Danio rerio: one gene and its partners. The main gene of each other region encodes a partner of the protein of the gene in region 4 in a complex. Links are inferred from orthologs where the notes say so. Each region holds a gene or a part of one and is shown on either strand. Other genes may lie near its edges.

Region 1 (3,569 bases), on a different chromosome or scaffold from region 4:
TGTGGGTCTCAAAAACAGCAAGACGAGCCACAGGTTTGGATCTATAAAACTACCTTAAAATGTTTTACATGCTGCTTTTAAGAAAGTATTCATGGTGCATTAGTGTCCTTGTTATGGTCACTAGTGTTATTAGGATCATCAGCATTTCGACTGTAGGGATTAATAAGAAGAGGCAAAAAACGTGAGACAAAAATGTTAATGTGTTAAAGGAAAACAGAAAATACTGATGACAGAAGGATATTAAAGGTTGAAGGCCTGGAGAAATAGGTTACTTGCATATGCAAAGATTTCAGGGTTTCTGCAGGTTTCACCAAGTTAAATTTAAGACTTACGACATTTTTAAGACCATTATCAATGAAACTCAAAAATGGGCTAAAGACTTAGGCTTTTTTCAAATGGCCCAGATTAAAAATATTTTTATTTGACCTATTAAAAAAAACATATTATAATTTAATACATTTAATAATACAATAATAAATAACATTAATAATAAACAATGAAATAAATTAGATTTTATTTCTTAGCTAAATAATTTAAATATTGTGTAAAAACAAGCAAGCTCTACTTTCCATACACTTTTTTTCCAACATAAACTTTCTTTTAAAAAAAATAAATGAACAAAAGCTTTAAAGTTTTAAAAACAAATTATAAACTTAATCTATGCGCAACATTCCAACAGTCCAGGTCGGTGTCATCAGCAGAAAATACATGAAGAATTTTAAACAAATGTTATTGTAAAAAAAATTATTAAACCATTATGATAAATAGAGTTAAAAATGACCTCTATAAAGAGTTTAAAGTTTTACTGAGATGGATTCTTAGTGATTGTATGGGTTTTGGCTAGATTGGGTAGCAATATATGAACAAAGAAAAATTAAGACCTGTTTAAAAAACATTTAAGACCTACAACATAATATTTCAGTAAATTGAGATGTAAGATTTTAAGACCCCACAGAAACCCAGTATTTCACCCAATGAAAATCACCAGTAGGCGTTCACCTTTAATTGTCCCAAGAATTCAAATAAATATTAACATTGCAACAGCATGCAAAGTATTATATTTTGACTGCTCACATGTGATGTTGCAACATTTCTTGGTGCATGATTGGGAGAAAAATTACAGGGCCAGGATAGAAATGCAGAAATGCTTAGGGAGAAAACGGATTGCACAGCACAGACACTGATAATCCCTACAGTGAAAATAGCTGTAACCACCCATGATTGGGGTAGAAATAAAAATGGGGTAAACTGCCTGCCTATCTCCCTGTCGTCTCTCAGCTCCATATGAGGCATGTGCAGTGTGAATGGAGGCACAGCAGAATTGAGAGTAAGGGAATGAAAAGGTAGACCTTGTGGAGGCCTGCCGCCAAAGCCTAGCTGTGTCAAGGTGCACAGGAAGACACACCCCTTTTCGTCCTATTACAAGCAATCAACATAATGGAACATTGTGATTAATATCAAATATGAACAACTTCAATTAATTGAATTTGTTTGCTTTTTCACCGACTGTAAAATAAATTAAGCAAAAAGCCAAATGTTCAACAGCACTTTAAAGCGCTCGTTCTGTATTTTTCTTGATCAATTTAGACAAATTCAAAGAATTTACCTGCTCTGTATTTTTTCCTGTCTGTTCCTCTAGAGGCCTCACTTTTGGGCCATTATCATTTTGATATTATCGATACTGTTGATAAATCAACTCAAACATTAGTAATGACCAGAGTGTTAAGAGCAATCTTAAAAAGGCAAGCAGACGGCAAACTGGGTCAGCAGTACTTTGAGGAAGTCTATTAACACAGTGAGGAAAACCATTCATCCCAAATACAAAAAAGACTTAAGGTTTTATCAGTGCAGAAATGTTTACTTGTAAAACCAGAAATTGTACATGGATCCTCTGCTTTCCTTTATATAAAAATGATAAAATAAGAATTCATGGATCACTGTTTTAATACATCCTGACCTCAAACAGTCAGTCATCAAAGCACCTCTGGCTGCTGTACAGATGGAGGTACTGAGGCATTTCACCGTCAACAGAGGATCCTCACACATCAACTTTAACTCTGACTTTTCTTGACCAGGAAACGAATGCGAGGAGAGTGAAGGAAAATGTGATCTCACATGTGCACAAAGGAATCTGTTTCTGACTTGATGCTAAGCAACCCCAGTACGCTTAAAAAAGGGTCTTGCTTACATAAGGCAACCTTCCTGGTTCGAAAGAAAGAGCCAAAAACCAAATTGTGATTTTGTATGATGTGTGATAAGAGATCAGATCTTCCTCAAAGTATAGAAACCATGACCCACCAACTGGAGCAAGTTGGGTCTCTGCTTACTTTGGTGTTCATGTTTTGAGAGAACTCTAGAATGGTGTCGACTCGTGTCCACGCATCTGGGTGCTCCTTCAAATGAGTCAGCACCTCCTGGGCCATTCTTTGCTGAAACAAAAAAACATTCATCTTAACTTGTATAACACTATGGTGCAACAATATACTGGCTGAGTGTTAATGATGTCAGTGCATTCACTAATGTATATAGTAAATAAACAAACACTGCCATTTAAAAAGTGACATATATATATTTGTACAATTGTAAAAAGCTGCCAACTTTTTATATTATTTTTGAGTACAATTTATTTCTAAGATGCATTTTGAATTTAAACGAAAGAAGAATATTTTCAGTGGTAACAGAATGTCACAGTAAGGTTCCTCATGTAAAAATACATAATTTCTGCAAACCCTAAGGATTTTAAATAACTAATAAAAATAAATTAATTCAATTTAATCCAATTAAACAAAATTTTTCATTTGTTTGTTGTATTGTTAAGCTACACAAAAGTAAACTCAAATTTAATGTTGTAAATGAATCTGTTATATATATATATATATATATATATATATATATATATATATATATATATATATATATATATATATATATATATATATATATATATAAAACATACTGTCACTCAACAGATAGAGAACAATGCAGAATACATCAGTGAGCAAATCAATGCAAAGGCAGGTGCAGATTTACTACCGTTTTCTGCATGAACTAGGCCTGAACGATTTGTCCTAAAACCTAAATCTCGATTAATTAAACATTTTAACTCGATTACGATTAATGAAAGATTGTTTAATTTATTTGTTTTATGTTTTTGCCCTCATAGTTCACTGACAAGTTTTGTACAGTAAATGTGCTCACATATTACAAGTGAGAGATTTTTGATTGTGCATTACTTGATTAAAATTAAAGGAAACACACACTATCTACTGTCTATGATTATTTATTGAACATCAATATTGAACAACTGAGATAAAGACAAACAGTGCCTAAAACGCGGCTCTCCACGCCGCGCACCCACGTCACCTCTACCAAACTGACCAATCACAAAGCTTGTGCAACGTGTCGTTGTGACGCGCAATTACATTTTTTTGAGAAGTGTGCAGGTATGTGAACGCTTTGCTGGACTGTATGTGCCCTTGGCAGAAGTATAAAATGGAATATAATAGGATAAATTGGCCTTGAACAAGCGGGGTCACGTAACTCAACACATGGTAGGGAAAGTAATTGAA
Region 2 (2,805 bases), on a different chromosome or scaffold from region 4:
CTAGTGAATTAAATTTTAGAGACTTACACAGATCAAAACATTAAGGATTTATTTTTTTAAATGGGCCAGCTACTTCTGTAGATAGTTTTTTGGATTAAAGGCAAATCATGTAAGGAATGTTAAACTTTAGTTTTCCTTCCCTGGATAGAGAACTTAATTTGCAAAAAAAAAAAAAAAAAAAAAGAAGAAGAAGAAGAAAGCTTAGATATGTATTGCTGATCAGGTGTCAGCTTCATAGGGTGGTTTTTACCTGGACAAAGAAAAATGAAGATTTGTTTTAAATGATTTTTGACCTACAACCCAATATTTAGGACCTACAACCCAATATTTCAGTGGATTTAAATTGTAAGGGCTTAAATTGTGTTTTTTTATTTTATTGAAGACCTCACGAATAAACAGTTTTGAATATTTTGTCTGGACAACAGTTGAACAGCAGCTCACACTAAATTGACAGCAATAAAACAGCACTTCATTTCACCCATCTAAATGAATTAAAGTCTGTCATATTTAGCGGAAGATTAATTTGATAAAAATCAGGAAGTGTTATATGAACTAAACCCATGCATGGATTATTTGTTGACGTTTCTATCATTCTATCTTTAAAATGATGCAACATACCTGTAGATTCTTCTTACGGTGAAACACGATGCTCTTTGCTTTGACCTTCCTGTCCTTGATGTCCACTTTGTTACCACAAAGCACTATGGGAATGTTCTCGCACACGCGCACCAAGTCACGATGCCAGTTGGGCACATTTTTGTAGGTCACTCGAGAAGTTACATCAAACATGATGATTGCACATTGAGCTAGAAAAACAGAAACACATGTTAATCCACTGTTGCCTCATCAGCAAAGCATATAAACAGAAGAGTTTCATACCCTGGATGTAATAGCCATCTCTCAGGCCACCGAACTTCTCCTGTCCGGCTGTGTCCCATACATTATATTTGATGGCTCCTCTGTTAGTGTGGAAGACCAGGGGATGTACCTCAACTCCAAGTGTAGCTAAAACGACACAATTAAAAGCAGCATATTAATGTCAGGATCACACAAGTCGCACATTCTTCCAGAAGTTTCACTGAGATGTCACCTGAATAAGTGTTTCATGTGAAGCAAACACTTACCAACATATTTCTTTTCAAACTCCCCAGTCAAGTGTCTCTTCACGAAGGTGGTTTTCCCCGTACCTCCATCACCTACCAGAACCAGCTGTGGTTGGGGGGAGAAAAAAAAAATTCGACATTAGCAAAACTAGCATCACATAAGCAGCCCTTCAAATTGGTTAGACAGACCTTAAAAGAAAATAATTGCTTGGATAAAACAGTCATTTATGACCTCACAGATACAATTTGCTATAGATTACACAAGGGCATTACAGGCATAGATATAAAGATGGGATCTAACCGCAATGATCAATTTATTATTAGTAATGATGGAAGACTATCCCAATTGTCAAATTGTCAACCCAATTTGAGTTTGCACTTAAATTATCTTACGTATGTATATCAGGGCTCGACAATAAGGACTGCCCGATGGCCCAGGCCCAGCATGCGAGACACTCAGGAGAGTACACAATTGTTACTGGCCCGATCAGGGTGCTGCCGTGTTGCTAAAGTTTTATTTTGGATGTGAATGTTTGTCAATCGTGCCCAAATAGGGTGCTTTTCACACCTTGACATTTTTTACGAAACCGATCTTGTTTGCCCAGTAAGCGTGGTTTGTTTGGCATTTGTAAAACTAGTAATCGGGTCCTGATCTGCCCCGAAACAATTGGTCCGAGACTGCCTGAATGAGGTGTTCTCGGCTTAATTGAACAACTCTGGAGTGGATCAATTGTATTAACCAAAAGATCCAATAAACTAACAAATCAGGCTAAATCCGTGTTTTATGGTTGTGTAATAGCCACATATATGGCTTTACGAAGTAAGGGTGTCACAATCCTCCAAATCCCTGATTCGATTACATTTTCGATTCTAAAGTCACGGTTCGATTCGATTTAAAAAAGAACAATTAAATAATCATAAATGAATAATACAGTAAATGAATAAAAATAAGTTACAAACATAATTGCCATCCGGAAATCACTTTCCGCGAGACTCGTGAATAGGCAGTGATCTGTGTCCTTATAATGGCATCAGTAAAAAAAGGTCCACAACCAACAGGACCAAGCCAACAGTATCTAAGGCGTTCGCTAAAATTACCAAGTACAAGTGTAAAAGTGAAAGATTGAAGCAGTCTACTGACCCGCTGACTGCCTGGACTGCTGTCTTGAGCAGATGACAATGTGTGTGCCTGCCTGTGTGTATGTGGTCACGTGATGTGCGTTTTCAGCGGTAGTGAGGAAGGAGGGCTGCTCAGAAATGCAAGACGTCTGTGTGGATGTGGATCATTATAAAATGCCATTCAGGGCCTACTCACACTATGCCATCCGTACCGTGCCCAGGCCCATTTCACGGATCATTTGAGAAGTGTGAGTGCGCTGAATCGGGCTCAACCACGGTTCACTTGGCCGGCCCTGGCCTGGTTGGAAGAGGTAGGCCTGAGCGCAGTTCACTTGGGCTTTGGCGCGGTACGCTTGTAGTATGAGTGCAAAATGCGCCAAAGCCCGAAACTGAAAGCGAGACGTCTATTAAGTAACTTTTATATGAATTTATTAATCATTCTTACTGTTCAGTGAACACAAACTGCCGTAGGTTATTAAAGACATAAACCCCTCACTGCACCACAGCTACGCTCCTTCAGCAGACCTCCTCATTCCTGCAGCACAAGAGCTTTATGATTATGAGCGCCAAAAGTGGCGGATCT
Region 3 (3,569 bases), on a different chromosome or scaffold from region 4:
GTTACAAATGTTACAAAATAATAGAACAGTGAAGCAAATTTGACTTTTTCCAAATAATATATTTTCAGTTACTATAAACAACACCACTTACAATGAACAAATAAAAATAAGAAAATAATAAATAATGTGTCAAAGTCCAAATAAAGTCCAAATAAACATGGTGCAAATCCTCAGTAAAAAATAGATATAAATATTTACTATACTATAAATAGTTACATAACGAAACTAGATTCAATATGGAACATCCTTAGGTTTTATGTGCCAGCATGGATATGGTTGTCTATCGATATGGATTTGGATATGGTTGTCTGCAATGCAGACAAACAGCTGCACCTTCATTTGCGTCTTTTGAAAACAGCAAGAGCAGCAGTTCGTCTTTGCTGTGTCACTGTTTTGTCATGTTTCTGTGCTGCTGTGCATGCAAAAGTACTTAGTATGAGAATTATTTCATGCAAAACTTTTTTTTTTTGCGTTTTATTTAGCCGCGCATAAATGTATGCCTATCTCTCATTCCGTGTTGTTCAAAAAGCTTGGTCCACAAACAAAAGCGAAACCTATGCTTATTGGTTGTGATATAGCGAGTTTGAACCAATCTGAGCATGGAGGAGGGACAATGCATCAATGTATCATGTCTGATTTGTCCGGAGACACAGTGACGAGCGTTTCTTTGTCAAATCAGCGTTGTCAAATTTTGATGACGTAACCGCACTGATTCCGGAGCCTCTGAAAGTCCACGAATGTTATGTGATACAGCACTGGAAAGCTGAGATTCTCTTCTTTATGCCAATCTTTGAATTGTATGAATCGGATCAGCGGATCAAAAGTAATTAAACATTTAAGAGCAATACTTATTTTTAGCCGCGGGCGGCTGTCTCGGTCTTTAAGGGTTAAAACCGTTGATATGCAATTGTTCATGGTATGATAATCGTGCACGTTCAAATCGTGATAAACCGTCATACCAGTATATTGTTACAACCCTACAACACCGGCACTGCATTTTCCTCTGTTGCATCAGTGATGGGTCGTTCTTAAACGATTCGTTCATTTTAAACATCTTTTTTGTATGACTCATTGAGTGAATCATTCATTTGAGCATGCTCACATTTGTGCAATTGGAGATCATGTGCTACCTTGGAGTGGTCTGTTTCACACAGAATGTGCATGTGTGGCCTCAACCCATATCGATATGCAAGATATTGGATAATCCCGCATTGCGTTTAGGGAATCCTATCGATATATATCCCCAGATACCGCACAGCTCTTGTACATATAGGCATCTGTGACAGTTTTTCACTGTGCTGGTGGTTTATGTACATCATTTTGGTTGTTCTGTTAGTGTAAGTAAACGTCTTTTTGCAGTGTTTGCTTCCATTTAGTGTTTTTTCTGGCGCACTTCACCGCTGTCATTTTAGTCTGCCGCTCCACCTCTTGCTCGCTGCTGATGTGCAGGTTAAGTGAGTTTGTGCCTGTAAACACATCACCCCTCTGTTTAAAAAAAAAATCTATCGCGATTCCTTCAACATTTCTACCAGTTTGAATACCAGTTTCACATATTTGAATCGATTTTCAACCGGCTCATGTTGAGTCATAACATCCCTAATGGAAAACAGTTGACTTCAATGTCATTTGCATGAAATACAATGAACAAATAACTATTGTGTATAAGTTGAATCCACCAAGGATACAAATGAAGTATACAGTGCTATTTTTTTCCTGAGAATTTCTAACAGTGTTTTGAAACAGAAATTGAATAATCAAATATGAAAATCTTCACTGTGTAAATTAAATGCAGTTAGAGCTAAACTGATTGTTTCTAGTCATTAATTCTTTAAACTCAATTGGAATGTTTACATTTAAAAACACACACAAATGATAAACTTTCACACTATTATGGTTAAACTTTGCAATTGATAGACAAATCAGTGTCACCTAAGCATTGTAAGCTGTAATATCTGGTCAGCATTGAGGTAAAGTTGGTTTTATATTCGCACATTCGTTCAGTGACAACTTAAGACACGCTCCTTATATTGTTTACTATGGTACTTTGAATATTCAGTCTGAAATCACATGTAAGTATGACTTCAGAACAACATTAGCATTATTTAATTGGCTGTAAACAATGCTGTACTTTGATAGTCTTTGCCTGCTAATATGATTTTCCTATTTAAAATTTGCAAATAAGACTCTTCTGATAATATGATATTGAGAAAGTCTAAATGCGTGAAAATAAAACAAACTTTACTACACATTCTGCAATATACAAATTATTACAGTGCTCACATTACTTTATCAATGTTGAAGCAATATAGTGTTTAGCTGTACTAGTCTAATACAAAAAATGGGGACTTTTTTCGAATTGGGGAACATTTTTCCATTGTTTTCTTCAGAACAGTGTCAAATCCAGCACAATATGAACTACATTGGTGCAACTGACTTCTGAATGGGCAAATACATGTCATATATACCCTGGCACGGTATTTTAAAATGTTACTTTATGCTCAAAATCATCAATCTTTTAGCTATTGATTTTGTTGAATCAGCACATGACACCGATGTTGGCAAGCATATGCCACTAGCCAGTTCCTTCTGACTGAATACTACCATAAAAAAACGATCAGGGTGGAAATTAGTTCTAATGAACCAGGCCTGATGGCTAGTTTAATGGCGGAGTTTATGTAACTACAAAATGTGAAAGTGCCTATTGCTCCTTCACTGGATTTTTCTCAGTCATTTTCTGTCTCTTTCTCTCTACAGATGTGATTGTCAGGGTGGTCAAGAAAACTTTTGCTGGAATTGCTGGCCTGTTCCGTTCGAGAGTCCATAGAAAAGCTGAACATGAAAAGCAGAATGCCTTCACGCAGGTACAATCATCATAAAATCCTCACTCGAATGCCATCTTTGCACACCCTTGGTTTTATTCACTGTTCACATGGTCTTGTTTCTTGTTTTGCTTGCTCAGGTTGGCAGGGTTACATTTATGGGTATTGATGACATATACAGCAACAGCCTGAGTTCATGGATTGAAAGTGACGGCATGGGTAAATGTGAACTCATTTTACTTTTTTTTTTTTTTTTTTTGTGAGTGTGTAAGTGTGAGTGATCTGGCTAAGAATTTGACAGACACAAACTACTGTTCAAAAGTTCAGGATCAGTCCTATTTTCATTTCTTTCAGTGAGTCATACAGAAAGCCTTTGCATCTTCCATAGTAATACTAAGCAGTATTGCTGTTTTTTTTTATATATATATATATATAAAGATTTAAAATAAGAAATGTTCAGATCAGCATATTAGAAAGGCCTCTTGGGGATCATTTAAAAGTTCAGCTTTGCCTTTACAGGAGTTCCAGTTTAAATAGAAAGTAATTTTAAGTTGCAAATTATGGAAGCATACGAGTAGCATAATTCAATTAAAAATGTAATATGCAAAATGGCAATGCAATATGTTAAATGGCAATGTATTTCTGTATTTGAATTTGCATTTTCCAAGACATATGAGCAATGTTTGGTGCAGAATGAAAATGTAAATTAAATTACATTGTTTGCATTTCTCATTTCAAACACTGTTTTAA
Region 4 (4,279 bases):
TGGGATTCTCCATAACCAGCTTGCACTTCCAGCACTCCCCATCCAGAAACAGACAAACTATCATTGAAATAACCAAAGGCATCTCCATTCTCTTCCATCACATCCTCTTTCAGGACCACAGACCTCTGAACAGCATCCCAGTACACAGTGGCTCTCTGAACATCTTAAACAATTTAAAAAGACCACATATATCAATAAACATTATAGGTTGACTTGTTTTATATTGTCTTGGTTTGATAAACAAATGCCAAGTATGATAACAAGTTTGTTGTAGTTCTAGCCAAGCGTTTTCAACTTGGTTAAACGGATATTTTACGCAAAAAAGAGAGAAAATTGACTCGCTATATACAGTAGCCTACTCAACCTCGAGTGGTTCCAAGCCCTATGAGTTCAAGATATTTAAGAAGAAAATCGTTTAAAGAAAGTTGAAACCCTGTATCCATATATCCATAGTAGGAAATGAGTCGGTTACTGGTTTTCAGCTTTTTTTCAAATGTGTTTTGCAGAAAAAAGGTAGTTCAAACTGGTTTGGAACAGGTAGAGGATGAGTTAATAATGACAGTTGTATCTGAACAATCAATTTAAGGAATACTAGCCTTCTAATGTTATGTAAACATACAAAAGGACATGTTACCACTAAAACGTGACTTTAAGTGAGTGGAATTAATTTAAAATACTCACGCTGAGCCATTACGAATGTCGCCGCGAGGACGCACAATATAAATACCCTTGTGACGTTAAATCGATACATGTTTCACGCTGAATTAGACTAAGCTTAAGTTTACTTTCTGGATCTGGTTAATCATGGTATGTAATCTGTAATCAAACACTGGGCAAATATAACATCCCAGAATATAATGCTAGACTAAAGTACGAAAAACCAAGATTTGGTTATTCAATTTAGAACTTAAAGACGTTGTATGTCCACATTAACTGGTTTTCTGTCGCAGATCGCCTTGTGTGTGATTAAAAGATTTCCACCCCAGATGGGACTCGAACCCACAATCCCTGGCTTAGGAGGCCAGTGCCTTATCCATTAGGCCACTGGGGCTTGCGTCATGGAGTGTGTAGAATGTGTATTACAAACGGTCTTATAAACGGAATGCAAGTCGTACATTTAATCTAACTTGTTTTACCAAATTTTAAATATAATTAGTAAATACAAATGATTTGTTATTCAGCTATATATTTACATGAATCAGCATTCTTATTTAAGTCACACATTTGTCTAATGTTAAATTTATTTCAACGTGCAACATTTTATTGATTTATTATAAAAATAAAAAAACAGTAATAAAAAACAGTATTTAAACAGTATTTAAATGAAAAATTTAAACCGAAAAATAATGACGTTTTCAGTAACGCTGTGCTATTATAACAATCAAAAATATTAATCGTGCTTTTATTATGAAAGATCATGACACCGGCACTTTCAAAGGACTGCCGCCTCCATGTGCCTCCTGTTTTGATGGTTTTATTCTGGTAACGTAAGTTAGTTATCTGCTATCTTCCTCCATTAAAATCCGCGCCGAGGTGTGAGGTAAATAGAAAACATTCACTTACTTTTTTAGATTTAACCAAAGTTCCTGCGCTAAATTAGCTAGTTTGAAGTCATGAATGAGATTAATGCTAGTAAGCTAACTCCTCTCTGAGTTAGCTTAAACCGTTTGTGTATCAGCCGTAGTACCAATGATGCAATGATATTATCATACTAGCTAGCTGTTTGAGGACTATATTGAGCTTAGTAATACTGTTTAAAGTTCATCAAGCACATTTCAAATATAACACGTAGCGTTATTTCTTTGGCTGTCATTTATATCCATGTTTAGAGATAACGTTAAGCTAGCAGTGGCTATATTAATATTACAGTCTTAATAACAATGAAGTAAGATTAAGGATGTACTTTTTATATATCCTAAATAAATTCATATGATTGTGAGGTATGTTTTAGGTTTAACGAGATACATTTTTGAAACACACTTATGTCTTACTAACTTTATTAGAAGAGAAAACGGGGAAAGCAATGGCCTTAGGGGATATTGCTCAGATTACAGAGGCTCTGGCCAAAACTCATGTTGGAGAAGTGGAGTTAAGTTATAAGGGACGAGGGCTGAAGCTGGACAATGCAGAATCAGGTGAGTAAAACGTTCTCTGTATTATCAAATTTGTTTATTTTTCATGTCTTAATCCATAAGCAACATCTCTTGGAATTCCCTCCTTTTCTTTTGTTACAGTGAAAGAGATTGTGGAGGACATTGAACGGTGTCAGGGTCTGCAGTCTCTCCGGTTAGAGGGAAACACATTGGGTGTTGAAGCAGCAGATGCCATTGCGAAGTCGCTTGAAGCTAAACGTGAACTGGAGGTAGTTTTAAATTACTAGTAGACATATGCAATAAACTGAGATAACGAGCATACACAATATTGATATCATGGGCTCTTCAAAATGTTAGTTAACGTCTTATAATGCATAAAAAATGTTGATTGGAGTTAATGGCTAATACTGGTCAGTTGAATTTTTGACATACTAACTTAAACATAGTTACTATAACTGCCCTTTTTCTCAGTGTTAATTTTAAATTTAATGCATTAATTAACAATTACTATTAGGACTTTATTGTAAAGTGTAAAGTGTTACCTAGTGTATTAGTGCAATTAAATTTGTTTGAAACATTTGTTTGCTCTCAGCAGATATGTACAATTAAGCAATACAATAATTGTTTGTTTTTCTACGTTACATGAACCTTTTTGCAACTTTGGTTAATATTGTGACAATTGTGGTATAATGTACAGTGATAAAACCTTCAGGATTTAATTGCAGCAAGAAAATCTGATACCATCCTAAACCTAAATACCACTGCACAGTTTTTACTTTCACTTTGCTGCTTTTATAACTTGTCTTTTTTTTTTCTCTCAAAGCAATGTCATTGGAGTGACATGTTTACAGGCCGCCTTCGCTCTGAAATTCCACCTGCTCTGGTAAGCTTTTGTATATCCAGTTAAAAACATTTATTTATTTCTTTTAGGGCTGCACAATGTGATGCACAATCACATTCAGGTATAAGAAATTGTACCTTTTTTTTTTACCATAACTGATTATATTAATGAATTATTTTTATCATTCAGTTACTGTACTTGAATATTGTTTGACTCAGGAAATAATAAAACACTTTATTTCAATTGTATTTTTCTTTCTTGATTGTATTTATGGATTGTTAAGCATAAAATACTCAAAACACATGCAAAAACAGAAATACACTGTAAATAGCACAGACCACAATGAAAATGTGTCGGGGTACCTGTAAAAATGTATAGATTGTTTATTAGATTTTATAGAGGTGCTTTTCCACTGCAGTATCATCCCAATCGATCTAACATTATAAATTCTTCCCAAATAAAGATATTATGAAGTTATCTGGTGAAATTGTATTCTTAGCGCAATGTATATCGCAAGATAAGAAAATATTGCAATGTTAGATTTTTCAAATATTGTGCAGCCGTAATTTCTATGCATTCTTCAAGTAAATTGTTTTCATTCAAAACAATTCATTCTTCATTTTTCATTCAAAAGTAAATTGCTGATATTCTAACCAACGGTTTTCTCCAATTTTAGAAATCACTGGGCAATGCTTTGATGACGTCAGGGGCTCGCTTGACTCAGCTGGACCTGAGCGACAATGCTTTCGGCCCTGATGGAGTGAAAGGAATCGAAAACCTCCTAAAGAGCTCTGCGTGCTACACTTTACAGGAGCTCAGGCTTAATAACTGTGGCATGGGCAGTGGAGGAGGGGTGGTAAGTTTAGTATTAAAAAAACTCTGGTCCAACCTAAGAAAACCCTGTTTATCTGCTTGTTATTAGGTCAGTGAAGTAGGCTTTTGCTCTCTGACATGATTATAAACGTGTTAATACTTTTTGAGGTTTACAGCACAGGTTTGTCTGTGTATTTTATTTATTTATTTATTTTTTTTATTTATTTATTTTTTTAGGTCCTTGCTTCTGCATTGACTGAATGCCATAAGCAGTCAAGTGCTGCTGCCTCCCCACTGAGGTTAAAAGTCTTCATAGCTGGACGTAATCGCCTGGAGAATGATGGTGCCACTGCACTTGCCAAAGCATTTAAGGTCTGAGGCATAACTTATTCATCTATATATATCATGATTAAGTATCTGGGTGCACATAGATGCATTAAATATGTAAATGAAGACTTTATATTTTTCAAGACCTTATTAGCGTCATCATGGTGAAATGAATGCTGGTTTTCAACAAGATAAAGCAGCACAA

What was found.
Region 1: the proteins of rangap1b (region 4) and xpo1b are in contact, whole or in part, in a cryo-EM structure (PDB 9B62), measured with the Homo sapiens proteins. The link is inferred for Danio rerio from reciprocal best matches to the Homo sapiens genes RANGAP1 and XPO1. Residues at the interface, in NP_001265580.1 of Homo sapiens: Ala2, Asp5, Ile6, Leu9, Ala10, Thr12, Leu13, Ala14, Thr16, Gln17, Val18, Ala19, Gln22, Leu23, Ser24, Phe25, Lys28, Glu44, Arg55, Ala561, Thr564, Lys565, Pro566, Ser568, Glu571, Ser572, Ser574, Phe575, Arg577, His578; in NP_003391.1 of Homo sapiens: Lys245, Ser248, Thr249, Tyr252, Lys253, Glu281, Gln282, Val284, Thr285, Leu289, Met292, Gln293, Gln296, Arg340, Asn342, Leu343, Lys514, Val518, Ile521, Lys522, Leu525, Glu529, Arg532, Lys534, Lys537, Ala538, Ala541, Met545, Phe554, His558.
Region 2: the proteins of rangap1b (region 4) and ran are in contact, whole or in part, in a cryo-EM structure (PDB 9B62), measured with the Homo sapiens proteins. The link is inferred for Danio rerio from reciprocal best matches to the Homo sapiens genes RANGAP1 and RAN. Residues at the interface, in NP_001265580.1 of Homo sapiens: Ser29, Gly58, Asn59, Thr60, Asp86, Thr89, Gly90, Arg91, Leu92, Arg93, Ile96, Asp121, Ala123, Phe124, Gly125, Asp127, Asn151, Cys152, Gly153, Met154, Gly155, Arg189, Asn190, Arg191, Gln217, Asn244, Asp245, Asn246, Thr247, Asp273; in NP_006316.1 of Homo sapiens: Asp18, Gly20, Tyr39, Val40, Ala41, Thr42, Leu43, Gly44, Val45, Glu46, Glu70, Lys71, Leu75, Arg76, Tyr79, Asp91, Thr93, Ser94, Arg95, Val96, Thr97, Asn100, Lys123, Asp128, Arg129, Lys130, Lys132, Lys134.
Region 3: the proteins of rangap1b (region 4) and senp2 are in contact, whole or in part, in a crystal structure (PDB 2IO3), measured with the Homo sapiens proteins. The link is inferred for Danio rerio from reciprocal best matches to the Homo sapiens genes RANGAP1 and SENP2. Residues at the interface, in NP_001265580.1 of Homo sapiens: Glu467, Asn508, Thr511, Thr514, Arg515, Val518, His519, Leu523, Lys524, Ser525, Glu526, Asp527, Val529; in NP_067640.2 of Homo sapiens: Tyr408, His409, Trp410, Val477, His478, Asp495, Met497, Gly498, Gln499, Lys500, Pro536, His537, Gln541, Gln542, Asn544, Gly545.

What each region holds. Positions count from the first base shown.
Region 1 is NC_133192.1:25,319,461-25,323,029, reverse strand, and holds part of xpo1b (exportin-1), read right to left. Parts: intron 2,430-3,569; coding exon 2,328-2,429; intron 1,682-2,327; exon of another isoform or gene 1,607-1,681; intron 1,417-1,606; exon of another isoform or gene 1,350-1,416; intron 1-1,349. UniProt on the Homo sapiens protein: Mediates the nuclear export of cellular proteins (cargos) bearing a leucine-rich nuclear export signal (NES) and of RNAs.
Region 2 is NC_133189.1:25,983,392-25,986,196, reverse strand, and holds part of ran (GTP-binding nuclear protein Ran), read right to left. Parts: intron 1,210-2,805; coding exon 1,125-1,209; intron 1,006-1,124; coding exon 880-1,005; intron 807-879; coding exon 619-806; exon of another isoform or gene 1-618. UniProt on the Homo sapiens protein: GTPase involved in nucleocytoplasmic transport, participating both to the import and the export from the nucleus of proteins and RNAs. Switches between a cytoplasmic GDP- and a nuclear GTP-bound state by nucleotide exchange and GTP hydrolysis.
Region 3 is NC_133181.1:12,359,998-12,363,566, forward strand, and holds part of senp2 (sentrin-specific protease 2), read left to right. Parts: intron 1-2,754; coding exon 2,755-2,861; intron 2,862-2,959; coding exon 2,960-3,038; intron 3,039-3,569. UniProt on the Homo sapiens protein: Protease that catalyzes two essential functions in the SUMO pathway.
Region 4 is NC_133187.1:20,673,169-20,677,447, reverse strand, and holds the start of rangap1b (ran GTPase-activating protein 1b), read left to right. Parts: upstream 1-1,428; 5' UTR 1,429-1,487; exon of another isoform or gene 1,488-1,540; intron 1,541-2,003; 5' UTR 2,004-2,023; coding exon 2,024-2,135; intron 2,136-2,234; coding exon 2,235-2,362; intron 2,363-2,916; coding exon 2,917-2,976; intron 2,977-3,610; coding exon 3,611-3,790; intron 3,791-3,984; coding exon 3,985-4,119; intron 4,120-4,279. Other genes in the region: plbd1b (phospholipase B-like 1), read right to left, coding at 1-163, 682-751. UniProt on the Homo sapiens protein: GTPase activator for RAN. Converts cytoplasmic GTP-bound RAN to GDP-bound RAN, which is essential for RAN-mediated nuclear import and export. Mediates dissociation of cargo from nuclear export complexes containing XPO1, RAN and RANBP2 after nuclear export.